Macaca mulatta: one gene and its partners. The protein of the gene in region 1 interacts with the protein of each later gene in a pairwise test. Links are inferred from orthologs where the notes say so. Each region holds a gene or a part of one and is shown in the gene's direction. Other genes may lie near its edges.

Region 1 (4,172 bases):
GAATGATATATTTTCATAGTTTGTTCTTGGATATTTTCATTTCTGTTTTTATAAACAATGTTGCAAGGAATGATAGTAGGTTAGAGGATATATAGTATTGAGGACTCTATTCATAACTGAATTGCTGCTTTAAAGGGAATGTACATTTATGATTTTAGTAGTATCCTCATTTGCCCCCAATAGATGTTGTACCAATTTATATTCCTACCACTAGTGTATTGAGAGCGCCTGTTTCCCCACAATCTCAATAAAACAAGTGTGTTATCAAACTTTTGGATCTTTCCCAGTCTGTTAGGTGAAAAATGGTACTTCAGTGTACTTTTAAAAACAAACTTTAAGTTTTAGAACAGTTTTAGTTACAGAAAGGTTGCATAGTACAAAGTTCCACATACCTGCAACTCAGTTTCCCTTGCATAACTCTGGTACATTTGTCACAGCTAACGAACCTTGTTATTAACTAAAGAGCATAGTTCATTCACATTTCCTTAGTTTTTACCTCATGTCTTTTTTTCTGTTCCAGGATCCCATTCAAGATACTACATTACTTTAGTCATCATGACTCCTTTGGTTCCTTTTGTCTGTGACAGATTCTCATGTTTTTGATGACCTTGCTATTTTTAAGGAGTACTGGTAGTCAGTGCACTTTAAAATTTGTGAGATTGGACATCTTTTCATACACTTAAAGACATTTGCATTTCCATTTCTCGGAACTAAGAGCCCATGCTTTTAACCACTATACTATACCTCTTTCTTGATTCACCATAATTATCAGTAAAACATTTGTGAACCTGAATACACACAGACTTCTGATTCTAAGTGTACAAAACTCTCAAGTCTCTGTTACAGATAGAGGAGAACCATTAATACAGGTGATATAGTCAGACTCGTGTCTGATGACTCTGGCTACATCATGAAGGATGAAGCAGAGGCTCTACTGGAAACGGTAGGTAGGCTGGATAAATCCTTGAAAGAAAAGCAGTGTTGATAAGAAGTTCAAAGGAAATTACAGAAGAGCCAGGAATTAGTGGTAATGAATGAGAGAATCAAAAAGTCAAAGGTGACTCGGTTTTTTGAGCTGGATATTTTGGGTCTTCTTTTGAACCTAGATGAGCAATTCAAAATCAATATTTGGACAATGTTCAGCATACCTGTCACTCGAGACCTACTTTCTCTTTCTGTCGCCATAGCTCTGTGCTACTACAATTCCCAGAGCCCCATGCTCCATCACAATCCCCTTAGAGTCCGCCGCGCGGAGTTCTGGGACTTGAGGTCCGCGGCCTATTTACGCAAGTTGGAGGTAGGGGCCTGTGGAAACATGAAGAGGTAAGGACTTGTCTGAAGAGCAGGCGGCAAGGGGAGCTCTCTTCTACTTTTTCTTTTGAAAATGGCTTCAATTGCTTTCTGGTTTGGGTATTGCACGTTCTCGGGATGCGATTTCGTGGGAGCGGGAAGACGACAAAGGAGACGGGAGGAGGGGAGACGGGCTGAACAGGCCTGCAGAGCGAAGGTCAGGAAGGGCTGCCACCGGGCCCGGCTGCTGTGGGTATGCCCTTCCGGCATGGGCCCCGGGAGCTGGCCAGGTGCTGCGGCCTCGTCGTTTCACACGGACCCAGCTAGGCAAAAGGGTTTGAGGCTGACCAATTCCCGGCGCCGGAGATGAAGGTACCTCGGGCCAACCCCTCCTCGTCCTCCCCTACCGCCACCTCCACCTGAGAAAGGCTCGGGGCCAGCGTATTTATTTGCAACGTCTGTGTGTTGGAGACTACTTGCTCGGGCCCCGAAACCATATAGCGCTTTCCAATCTTAAAGTAAAGGAGTGGTACTTTGTTTCTAAATGTAGAAGGAGAGCACCAAAGCGGTTGGATTTTTGGGATGGGGGGAGGGGAGGTGGAAGGCATTGCTGGGCTCAGTTCCCCTTACTGGTCCTGAGGTAAATGGCCGCTTGAGCCTAAACGGCCCGAGCCTCCCAACTATTGACAGGCTTAAATTAATTTTTAGATTCACGCTGCAAGTAGAATCATCACTCTGGAATAGTGCAGTGCGTTTAAAATTCTTACTGATACGTTTTCCTGCACTGTCAGTTCCTTGCATCTTTTAAAAAACCGTTTTTGACTTTCCCTGCCTGAAACTAACCTTTAACGTTTTTTTTTTTTTTTTTACAGTATCTCATCCATGCAAAATAATGTATAATGTATATATACAGCTTAAAGAATAATAAAGGTTCGCATCCACTGCAAGCTTCAGAAATAGGACATTGCCAGTCCCTTAGAAGTCTACTGTGTCTTTTCCCTCCCTTCGTTCCCCTCTGAGGTGACCACTATCCGGAATTTTGCGTTACTGATTCCCTTGCTTTTAAAAAAGCAAATAGTTTCTAGTACATATGAATTTATCCCTAAACAAAATGTTCCTAGTTTTATCTATTTTTCAACTTTATACAAATGGACACATATATTAATTTTTCCGTGACTTGCTTTATTTTTTTACTCAACATTTCTTTTTGAGATTCATGTGTGTTGATGTCTAGAAACTTTAAACTTAGTAAGAAGTTTTGGGATTCTAAGTAATAAAAAATTGAGATACTTAAAATGAATTTTTTAACACCTTGGGCCTAAAGATAATTTAGAATTTTCCAAAATAGGGCCAAGTCTTTCTAGAGCCTGGGAATATTGTTTTTAATTATGGGTGTTAGTTTTTCTAGACTTTATCATAACCTCACTAGGAAAGAGCTATTTTATAAGGAAAGTATTTGATATTTGGTTTTTTTCCTGGAGTTAATTCATTTTTTGTATTTTTTAAAAATAATCTGTTGTTTCATGCTTAAATGGCCCTGTTATTTCTTTACACTCTAATAAGAGTTTTTAATTACTTAGTTAGTAGATCATGCTAGCCATGGCCTAGATTTCTACACAGTGGTGCCCAGGCTATAAAAATGTTATGACCATCTTCATATTTCTTTCTGTATTCTCTCCTTGGAGATCTCCTCCTCAGAGCTCCAGATCTTGTTATCACAGATGACTCAAGATTTATACATTCAGCCTCGGACTCTCATCTCTCATTTTCCCTTTAGCCAGTCACTCATGCTGTCCCTTCAGAATCATGTATTTGAAGTACTCCTGATACTTCATGCTGGCGTTTCTATTGTAAAAGGTACTAGACTCAACATGACTAAAACAATACTGACTTTCCCTTTCCCAAATCATTTATTCCATCTAGAGCTTTGGCTTTCCTTCATTGGTACCATTGTTCTCTCAGTTACACAGACTGAAATTTTGGGATTATCTTTGACTTCCTTGCCTCTGCTTCCAAAAGTCCCCTCTCATCTAACCCTTTCTTTCCATTTTCACTATTACCATTTCAGTCTAGACCTTCATCACTGTATACTTCACTAGTTTCATAACTAGTTCTTGTTTCTTCCCTTTGAATCTCTATGGCATATTATAACCACATTCATCTGTCTAAACTATCACTTGCACTGTGTCACTTAACTGCTTGATAAATTACTACTTCTCATTATCCTTCAGTATGTATTACTGTCCCTTTGTACTCTCTTTTCCTGTTTTCCTTTTCTTCATCACACACTTTTCAATGTCAGCGTAAGAGTACCTTTCTGAAGTCTTCCTTTACCACCTTTTTCTACCAATTTTCTCTTCTGTGAATTTCTACTAATTTGGCCTATGCTTCTATGTGTTATTATTCTCTCCTCCCACCGCCGACACAACACGTACATACATGTTTTTTCTCCCTAAATAGATTGTGACCTTCTTAAGGATAGAGACTATGTCTTAAACACCTTCGACTTCCCTCAGTACCTAGCATAGCGCATTCTGTGTAGACAGGTATTTAGTAAGTGTTCATGGACTAAATGGTAAAGGGCAGTGAATTGTTGGAGAAGTGTCTTTGAATAAATGGGGTCTCTAATGGTAGATAATATAGATAAGGAATATATTTTGAGACTCACAGTCTCTACTGTTTTCTGTATATATTCTTATATCTACTCCAGGGTAAACAGCTGTGTGAAGAGTGATGAGCATGTCCTGGAGGAGCTGGAAACAGAAGGGGAGAGGCAGCTGAAAAGCCTCCTTCAGCATCAACTTGATACTTCTGTCTCCATTGAGGAGTAGGTATTGATTTTGCAAACGGAGAGTATCATAGAGTCTCACCTCCAGGTGACA
Region 2 (3,649 bases), on another chromosome or scaffold:
GACATTCCACCATTGTGATTTGTTTCTGCCCCACCCTAACTGATCAGTGTTCTTTATAATGTCCCCCACCCTTAAGAGTTTCTTTGTAATTCTCCTCACCTTTGAGAATGACTTTGTGAGATCCACCCCCTGCCCCCAAAACATTGCTCTTAACTCCACCACCTATCCCAAAACCTATAAGAACCAATGATAATCCCACCACCCTTTTCTGACTCTCTTTTCGGACTCAGCCCGCCTGCACGCAGGTGAAATAAACAGCCATGTTGCTCGCACAAAGCCTGTTTGGTGGTCTCTTCACATGGACACGTGAAACAGTATACTGTTAATCTTTACATAAATAGTTGAACAATATCTTACATTTACATTTTGCACTTAGGCATATCATTATTTAGATATTAATATTAGTAAGTCCAATATGTACTGGACTTATTAAATGTCACAAAACAGGTAGTTTATTTGCCATGGAAAGAATCTCACTTCATACTATTTAGTGGTTGCATTAGTCATTCATTTTGATTTTTTCCTAGTAATTTGTTCTGTCATATTTTCTTTTTTCTGTTTCTGACAAAGATATCTTCGTACAATGACCTTTGAAGCTTAAAAACAATTTTTTTTTTTTTTTTTTGAGGCAGAGCCTCACTTTGTCGCCCAGGCGTGATCTCGGCTCATTGCAACCTCCGCCTCCCGTGTTCAAGCGATTCTTCTGCCCCAGCCTCCCGAGTAGCTGGGACTACAGGTGTGCACCACCATGCCCAGCTAATTTTGTATTTTTAGTAGAGACGGGTTTTCACCATATTGGCCAGGCTGGTCTTGAACTTCTGACTTCGTGATCTGCCTGCCTCAACCTCCCAAAGTGCTGGGATTACAGGCATGAGCCACCGTGCCCAGCTAAAACCTTTTTACTTTTTTTTTTTTTTTTTTTTTTTTTTTTTTGAGACGGAGTCTCGCTGTGTCTCCCAGGCTGGAGTGCAGTGGCGTGATCTCGGCTCACTGCAAGCTCCGCCTCCCGGGTTCACGCCATTCTCCCGCCTCAGCCTCCCAAGTAGCTGAGACTACAGGCGCCCGCCACCACGCCCGGCTAGTTTTTTGTATTTTTAGTAGAGACGGGGTTTCACCATGTTAGCCAGGATAGTCTCGATCTCCTGACCTCGTAATCCACCCGCCTCGGCCTCCCAAAGTGCTGGGATTACAGGCTTGAGCCACCGCGCCCGGCCTACTTTTTTTTTTTTTTTTTAAAGAGATGAAGTCTCACTCTGCAGTCCAGGCTGGAGTGTAGTGGTGCAATCATGGCTCACTGCAGCCTCGATCTCCCTGGCTGCTCAAGCAATCCTCCCACCTCAGCCCACCTGAGACTACAGGTGCGTGCCACCATGCCTGGCTAATTTTGTTAGATAAAGTCTTGCTTTGTTGCCCAGGCTGGTCTAGAACTCCTGGGCTCAAGTGATCCTCCTGCCTTGGCTTCCCACAGTGCTGGGATTACAGGTGTGAGCCACTGCGCCTGGCCTTTTAAAAAACATTTTAAAACAAGAGTCTTCCTTTTGATGTTGCTCTAGACCATACTACTGGTTCCTTACACATTTCAAAAAGGTATTACGCCTTGTCTATTGAAACCTGTGATTACTGGGTCGCACTTTAGGAATTTTTCCTTTAATACTTCCCTCAGCTCTTAAGCATTTTACAGTAGTTGGTTGATAGAGTGCTTTAGAGCTATTCATCTGGGCATTTGTATGTATGTGTTGTTCTTTAAATTATTAACTTTGTTTTGTTTTGGTTTTGTTTTTTGATACAGAGTCTCTGTCTCTCAGGCTGGAGTGCAGTGGCATGATCTTGGCTCACTGCAACCTCTGCCTCTTGGGTTCAAGGGATTCTCGTGCCTCAGCCTCCCGAATAGCTGGGACTACAGGCCTGTGCCCCCATGCCTGGCTAATTTTTGTATTTTTAGTAGAGACAGAGTTTTGCCACGTTTGCCAGGCTAGTCTCGAACTCCTGGCCTCAGGTGATGCACCTGCCTCAGCCTCCCAAAGTGCTGGGATCACAGGTGTGAGCCACCATGCCTGGCAAAATTATTAACTTTTGAAGGTAGATACACTGCTTTTACATGTTTTACATTTTCTTTAACTCCATAGTACATAGTGGCGTTGAGTAATTGTTATTCTTTTGTTTTAGGTGACATAAATGTTACAGTTCTTATTGGAAGTAAACAAGTCAGTGAAGGTACAGATAATGGTGATCTCCCTTCTTATGTGTCTGCATTCATAGAAAAGGAAGTTGGAAATGACCTTAAATCTTTAAAGAAACTTGATAAACTCATAGAACAGAGGACAGTAAGTAAAATGCAGTTAGAAGAACAGGTAAGTATTGAAACTCACTGACATAATTATCAATGGTATACTTTTTACAATATAATGTCTATTATATATAGAATTTTAAAGATACAGAATGTGATAAATAGTCTATTGTAAACTGTTTAAGAGGACTTAAGAACCTACAATATACTACCTATTTTACAAATTAGGTAAAAGACAAAGTTCCTACTGATATAGTTTGTCTTGAAAACATATTGAGACCTAACATTTTATATAGATTTTCACAGAGTGACTTTTTTTTCCCTTTCATTCTGTTTCTAGTGAACATACAGTGACTTTTTTTTTTGGGACAGAGTCTTGCTCTGTCGCCCAGGCTGGAGTGCAGTGGCCGGATCTCAGCTCACTGCAAGCTCCGCTTCCCGGGTTTACGCCATTCTCCTGCCTCAGCCTCTGGAGTAGCTGGGACCACAGGCGCCCGCCACCTCGCCCAGCTAGTTTTTTTGTATTTTTTAGTAGAGACGGGGTTTCACCATGTTAGCCAGGATGGTCTCGATCTCCTGACCTCGTGATCCACCCGTCTCGGCCTCCCAAAGTGCTGGGATTACAGGCTTGAGCCACCGCACCCAGCTTCATACAGTGACTTTTAAATTGCTTTTACAAGCAAATAATTTCATGGCATGTAAAAAAATATATACCATGGTGTAAACACCATCATTTCAATTTTTTTTTTTTTTGAGATGGAGTTTTGTTGCCCAGGCTGGAGTGCAATGGTGCCATCTTGGCTCACTGCAACCTCCGCCTCCTGGGTTCAAGCAGTTCTCCTGCCTTAGCTTCCCATGTGGCTGGGATTACAGGCATGTGTCACTCTGCCTGCCTAATTTTGTATTTTAGGTAGAGATGGGGTTTCAACATGTTGGCAAGGCTGGTCTTGAACTCGTGACCTCAGATGATCCACCTGCCTTGGCCTCCCTTAGTTCTGGGATTACAAATGTGAGCCACTGTACCTGACCACATTTCAAATTTTAATAAATACACACATAGGGAGAAGTATAAAGTGAAAAGAAGTATAACATAATGGTTATTTCTGGGTGGTTGGTTGACAAGTGGTGTATTTAAAAAATATTTCTAGGCCTGGCACAGTAGCTCACACCTGTAATCCCAGCACTTTGGGAGGCTGAGACGGGTGGATCACCTGAGGTCAGGAGTTTGAGACCAGCCCGACCCACATGGTGAAACCCCGTCTCTGCTGAAAGTACAACAAAAAAAATTAGCCAGGTGCGGTGGCAGGCACCTGTAATCCCAGCTACTCGGGAGGCTGAGGCAGGAGAATTGCTTGAACCCAG
Region 3 (4,214 bases), on another chromosome or scaffold:
ATTTTTATTACAACATTTTACTCCCGCTCGGTGAGTACCTTCTCAGTGGCATTCTTGTCCTATTCTTTTTTTTTGTCCTTTTTTTTGTTTTTTGTTTTTTGTTTTTGTTTTTGTTTTTGTTTTTTTCTTTTTTTCCACTTCTTTGATTATTGTTTATATTTGGGAAAGCTGGAGGAGCATGATTTTGAGCCTTTTCCTGAATCCAAGTTTTTCTAGCATGCGATCGTTCTGTAGACAAGGCGCTGTGTCTCGGAGTCCGCGGCGACCGTGCCCGCTGGGAGCGTCTCCCAAGTCCAGCAAAATGTGCAACTGGTTTTATGGAAAAAGCGATGTGAAGTATGGTGCCTATTTTTTTCCTTTGTAAAAATAAAAAGCATGTTTCTAACTCTTTTTTTTGCATACTCTTTTTCTGATAACATTTTTGTATAGGTGGGATTTTACGGCAGTGTTTACAAGTTTGTGGTCTTGCAATACTGGTGCAAACCACTGAGCAAAGACATTAATTTTATATTTTTGTGCCCTTTTTGGAAGCCGGTGAGAACAAATTCGTTTTTTTCCCTCCTGTTTTTGATACCCATTGATAACATGAAACTTTTCTTACAGCTGGTGACTGGGATCATTTTTAAGCAAAATACTTTTTTCCTCCTTTAAATTAACTATGACTTTTGCACATTTGACTTTTTTAAAAAAACCGAGATAATTTTATGATAGATATCCTGATATCTATATCTATATTGTCCCTTATTTCTCCCCCTTCCCTCCCCGTAAATCAATTTTCAAATGATGGCAGTGGAAGGTTTTTCTGGAAAAAAAAAAAAAAAAAAAGAAGTGCGGTTTGGTTTCCTTGTCAACGGAGGATGAAGTGAACAGCTGAGCAGCTCGCAGAGAGCAGGTACTTGGTCCCCTTGGAGGCGTTTCCCGGGTGTGCAGTGGCAACACTGGTCCTAGCAAAGAAATGTGTGAGTGTGAGTGTGTGTGTGTGTGTGTGTGTTTGCGCGCGCGCATCTCCGGGCAGTGTCCGCGCCGGAGGTGGGGAGAGCCGCGCCGGGAGCCAGGGAAAACCAAAGTCAGTTCCCGGCTTCAGGATCGTTTTCTAGATGTGCACAAAATACAGTCCCCTCCCCCCACCCCCCACCGTGAGCTGCGCCCAGGTCATCTCCCGGCTGGGCGGGTGGTGTCTGCGCTGCGGGCGGCGCCGGCCGGGCACTAGGTGGCCAGCGGGCCCTGTAAGTTCTCCGAGGGCCACTTGCACAGCAGGAGGGGCGAGGGCCGTGTACGTGGCGCAGGCCGTCGGGCCGGCTAGAGGGGACCCCCAGAGCACCCGGGAGATGGGGGAAGAAGCGGCAGAGACCGCATCTTCCGGAGGGACTGGCTCCAGGCCACGCGGGCCGGAGCTCGAGACATTTCCAGAGCCTTGAGGATGGCACCGGCCCCCGCACGCTCAACTCCTGCTCCTCCTCTTCGCAATGAGTAAACGACGCAGTAGGTCTTTCCCAGCCTATTTTGCTTTTCCAAAGGGCTTTGCTTTCTTAGTGGTGCTGTCTTTGGATCTTTTCTTTATGCCTGTTGTGTTGCGTTGGTTTTAAGTGCCTGCTGGTGTCGTCTTCCAGGGAATGGGGAAATAGTTTCTTATAAGATGGTCACTTGGGTTTAATGTTGAGGACGACGCTGTTAGTTTGCAGTAATGACCCTACAGCTCTAAGGTATAAAAATGCCCCTTATTTAAATTTTATTAGAGGGAGAGTTTTCCCTCTTTTTAACCACCTAATACTGGCTCTAAAGGTTTTCCCCTGAGAACTGTGTACAGGGCAGGAGTGAGGGGTTAGTGATAGAGGTGATGATTTCGTGTGTTGGTAGCATTGAAATACTCAGTGTTGAATGTATTCTATTATATTTTATGATTATCCTGTTACATGTTTTCAATATAATTTAGCATTACTTTTCAGAGATGGACCAGTTCGCAATAAAAAGCCTTTTCTGTATTTAACACTGTGACAGAATCTGCTGGAAATTTTTCTGTCCAAATAAATTTCGTAAAGGCATACATCTTAAAATCTGGAGAGTCACCATTATTTAAATACTTTGATTTTCTTACCTTTCCCCCCCTTAAATGAAAAGCTTAGCTTTAAATTATCATGTGTATGTAGTTTGGATTCTGTAAAATAAACATAAGGCAAATGAAACAACTTTTTACCTCTCGGATGAAGTTTTCTTCTGGGTAACTACAGAAATAAAAACTGACTCCAGCATACAGAGGGGCCCATGACAAAGGGGTTTATAACATACACTGGCTTTTTCAAGCAAATATTTCACTGTCTGTAACCTCAGTTTGTGGAATGAAAAGTTTTATGCCTTATTTTTTACTCTTTGTGGTCAAAAAGTAAGGAGTGCAAAGGGCCATTTATCTGTAGAAGATTAAAAGTTAGTGTAATATCTGGAAAGCTATATATATTTTTTATTCACAACTCATGCAAGTATCTCAAAAGTCTTTGGACATTTCATTGTATGTGAGGTATTTTGTTCTCACAGTAGCTTTTCCCTGTGAAGGAAATCCTCTTGCGTTTATATAAAGAAGATAGTTTATGTCACTGTCTGTGGACACCATATTTGATATCTTGATGTGTATAGTTCTAAGATTTGAAGCCAATATGATGGCACTAAGCCTGAAATTAGGATTTTCTTATTTTGTATAGTGAGCTAATTACTAAAATATATGGTTCAAACAGCTAACATATGGTTCAAATAGCTAACATAAAACATTTAAAAAGCCATTTGCAACATTCTGTGATTTTAAAAATCATTTAAATTATAACAATGTATGTACATAGAAGTGCTTATTTATTAAAAAGCAAGACAATTTGTGTGTATAATATATTTTTGTATGTTTTATGTGTTGTATGTCGTTTAGTTCTTTTAAGAGAGAGAGAGACAGAGCAAGCAAGCAAGAAAGAGCTTGAGTGATCGAACCTGCATTTTCATTAAGAGTATCAGTTGCTGCCCTAAGGTAGAGGTAGTTTGTGTCTTAAGATTGGACAAAACACTAGCTGTATTGTATGATCTTTCCCAATGAGATTGAAACCATTAATGGGACCAAAGACGATTTTAATGTGAGGACAGACAGGTAGTTGGGCTTTAATTTCTGTAACTTAAGACCGTTCTAAGAACCTTTGGTTATCTATGTTTTCATTTATTTAAGATTCATTTTTGATTATATTGTATACTTGTATTACATTTGTGCCTATTACATTCAAAATTTTCAAATTTCTTCCTGTGTGAATCATACTGGGAATTCTACAACTCTTAAACTGGCCACCTGTTTAGTTTTTGATTTAAAATTGTTGAAGGTAGTATCCTACATTTAGCACCGCCTACTGGCTTCTCGTGGAAAAAATACATTTTTTCATTCGCCAAGAAACCCACAGGGATTTACATCAATTTAATTGTGCAGATCTTTTCAACTGCTTACTGAGAGAGAAGGAGGGAAAAAAAGTTTGTATGCTGTAAGGAGAGAGGGTTTCCAGGGTAAAGGCAGGGACCGAGGGAAAGAAGACCCACAAACTAAATTGGCATTGGATCACTATCTGACCTCAAACATTTTACTGTCTAAACTGTGACAAAGAAATAATCACAAAATGAAAACTATTAAATTTTCTAGGACTTTCTATGGGATAATAAAATGTGGGTATTGTTTAAAATCTTGGATTACTAAATTAATTTTACAGTGTCTTTCTCAATCGATATAAAGAAAGAAAGTTCTAGTTGGAATTCTGTCTTGAGTGTGTGGTCTGTCGAATAATATTTAAATGAATAACTTTTCATCATTGAAGATTAACAATTAATTATTTTTATATGTATTTTTCATGGACATAAACAATCACGTAGCACCCTAATTTTTTTCTTAACATGCATCAAATAGTCGCACTGTGTTGTTGTATATACAAGGGGGAAAAGTTCCAAACATACAATTATAAAGACACATCCTTAGCCATAATAGATGCGTTACCTTTCTTAAAAATGATAGTTGGTTTATTTTCTCTAATTTGTATGAAAGTCTAGTGGCTGAAAGAGCTACTATAATAATACAAACAAATGATGCCTTCAGAATATAAAAATTATTAATTAGAAAAATAATTTGATATGCTAAACATTTTCTTCCTGGTTAAAAGAAATGTGAAATATTTGGATAGCTGTTTCTTAAATGCCGTATTTACTTA

Evidence for each region.
Region 2: the proteins of RBM41 (region 1) and RINT1 interact in binary tests that used the Homo sapiens proteins (3 or more experiments, as listed by UniProt). The two-hybrid records come from large-scale screens. The link is inferred for Macaca mulatta from reciprocal best matches to the Homo sapiens genes RBM41 and RINT1.
Region 3: the proteins of RBM41 (region 1) and RALYL interact in binary tests that used the Homo sapiens proteins (3 or more experiments, as listed by UniProt). The two-hybrid records come from large-scale screens. The link is inferred for Macaca mulatta from reciprocal best matches to the Homo sapiens genes RBM41 and RALYL.

The regions. Positions count from the first base shown.
Region 1 is NC_133426.1:113,911,906-113,916,077, reverse strand, and holds the start of RBM41 (RNA-binding protein 41), read left to right. Parts: upstream 1-1,275; 5' UTR 1,276-1,315; coding exon 1,316-1,323; exon of another isoform or gene 1,324-1,662; intron 1,663-3,067; exon of another isoform or gene 3,068-3,147; intron 3,148-4,000; coding exon 4,001-4,117; intron 4,118-4,172. UniProt on the Homo sapiens protein: May bind RNA.
Region 2 is NC_133408.1:145,133,553-145,137,201, forward strand, and holds part of RINT1 (RAD50-interacting protein 1), read left to right. Parts: intron 1-2,166; coding exon 2,167-2,351; intron 2,352-3,649. UniProt on the Homo sapiens protein: Involved in regulation of membrane traffic between the Golgi and the endoplasmic reticulum (ER); the function is proposed to depend on its association in the NRZ complex which is believed to play a role in SNARE assembly at the ER.
Region 3 is NC_133413.1:94,791,401-94,795,614, forward strand, and holds the start of RALYL (RNA-binding Raly-like protein), read left to right. Parts: upstream 1-1,330; 5' UTR 1,331-1,466; coding exon 1,467-1,482; intron 1,483-1,625; exon of another isoform or gene 1,626-1,703; intron 1,704-4,214.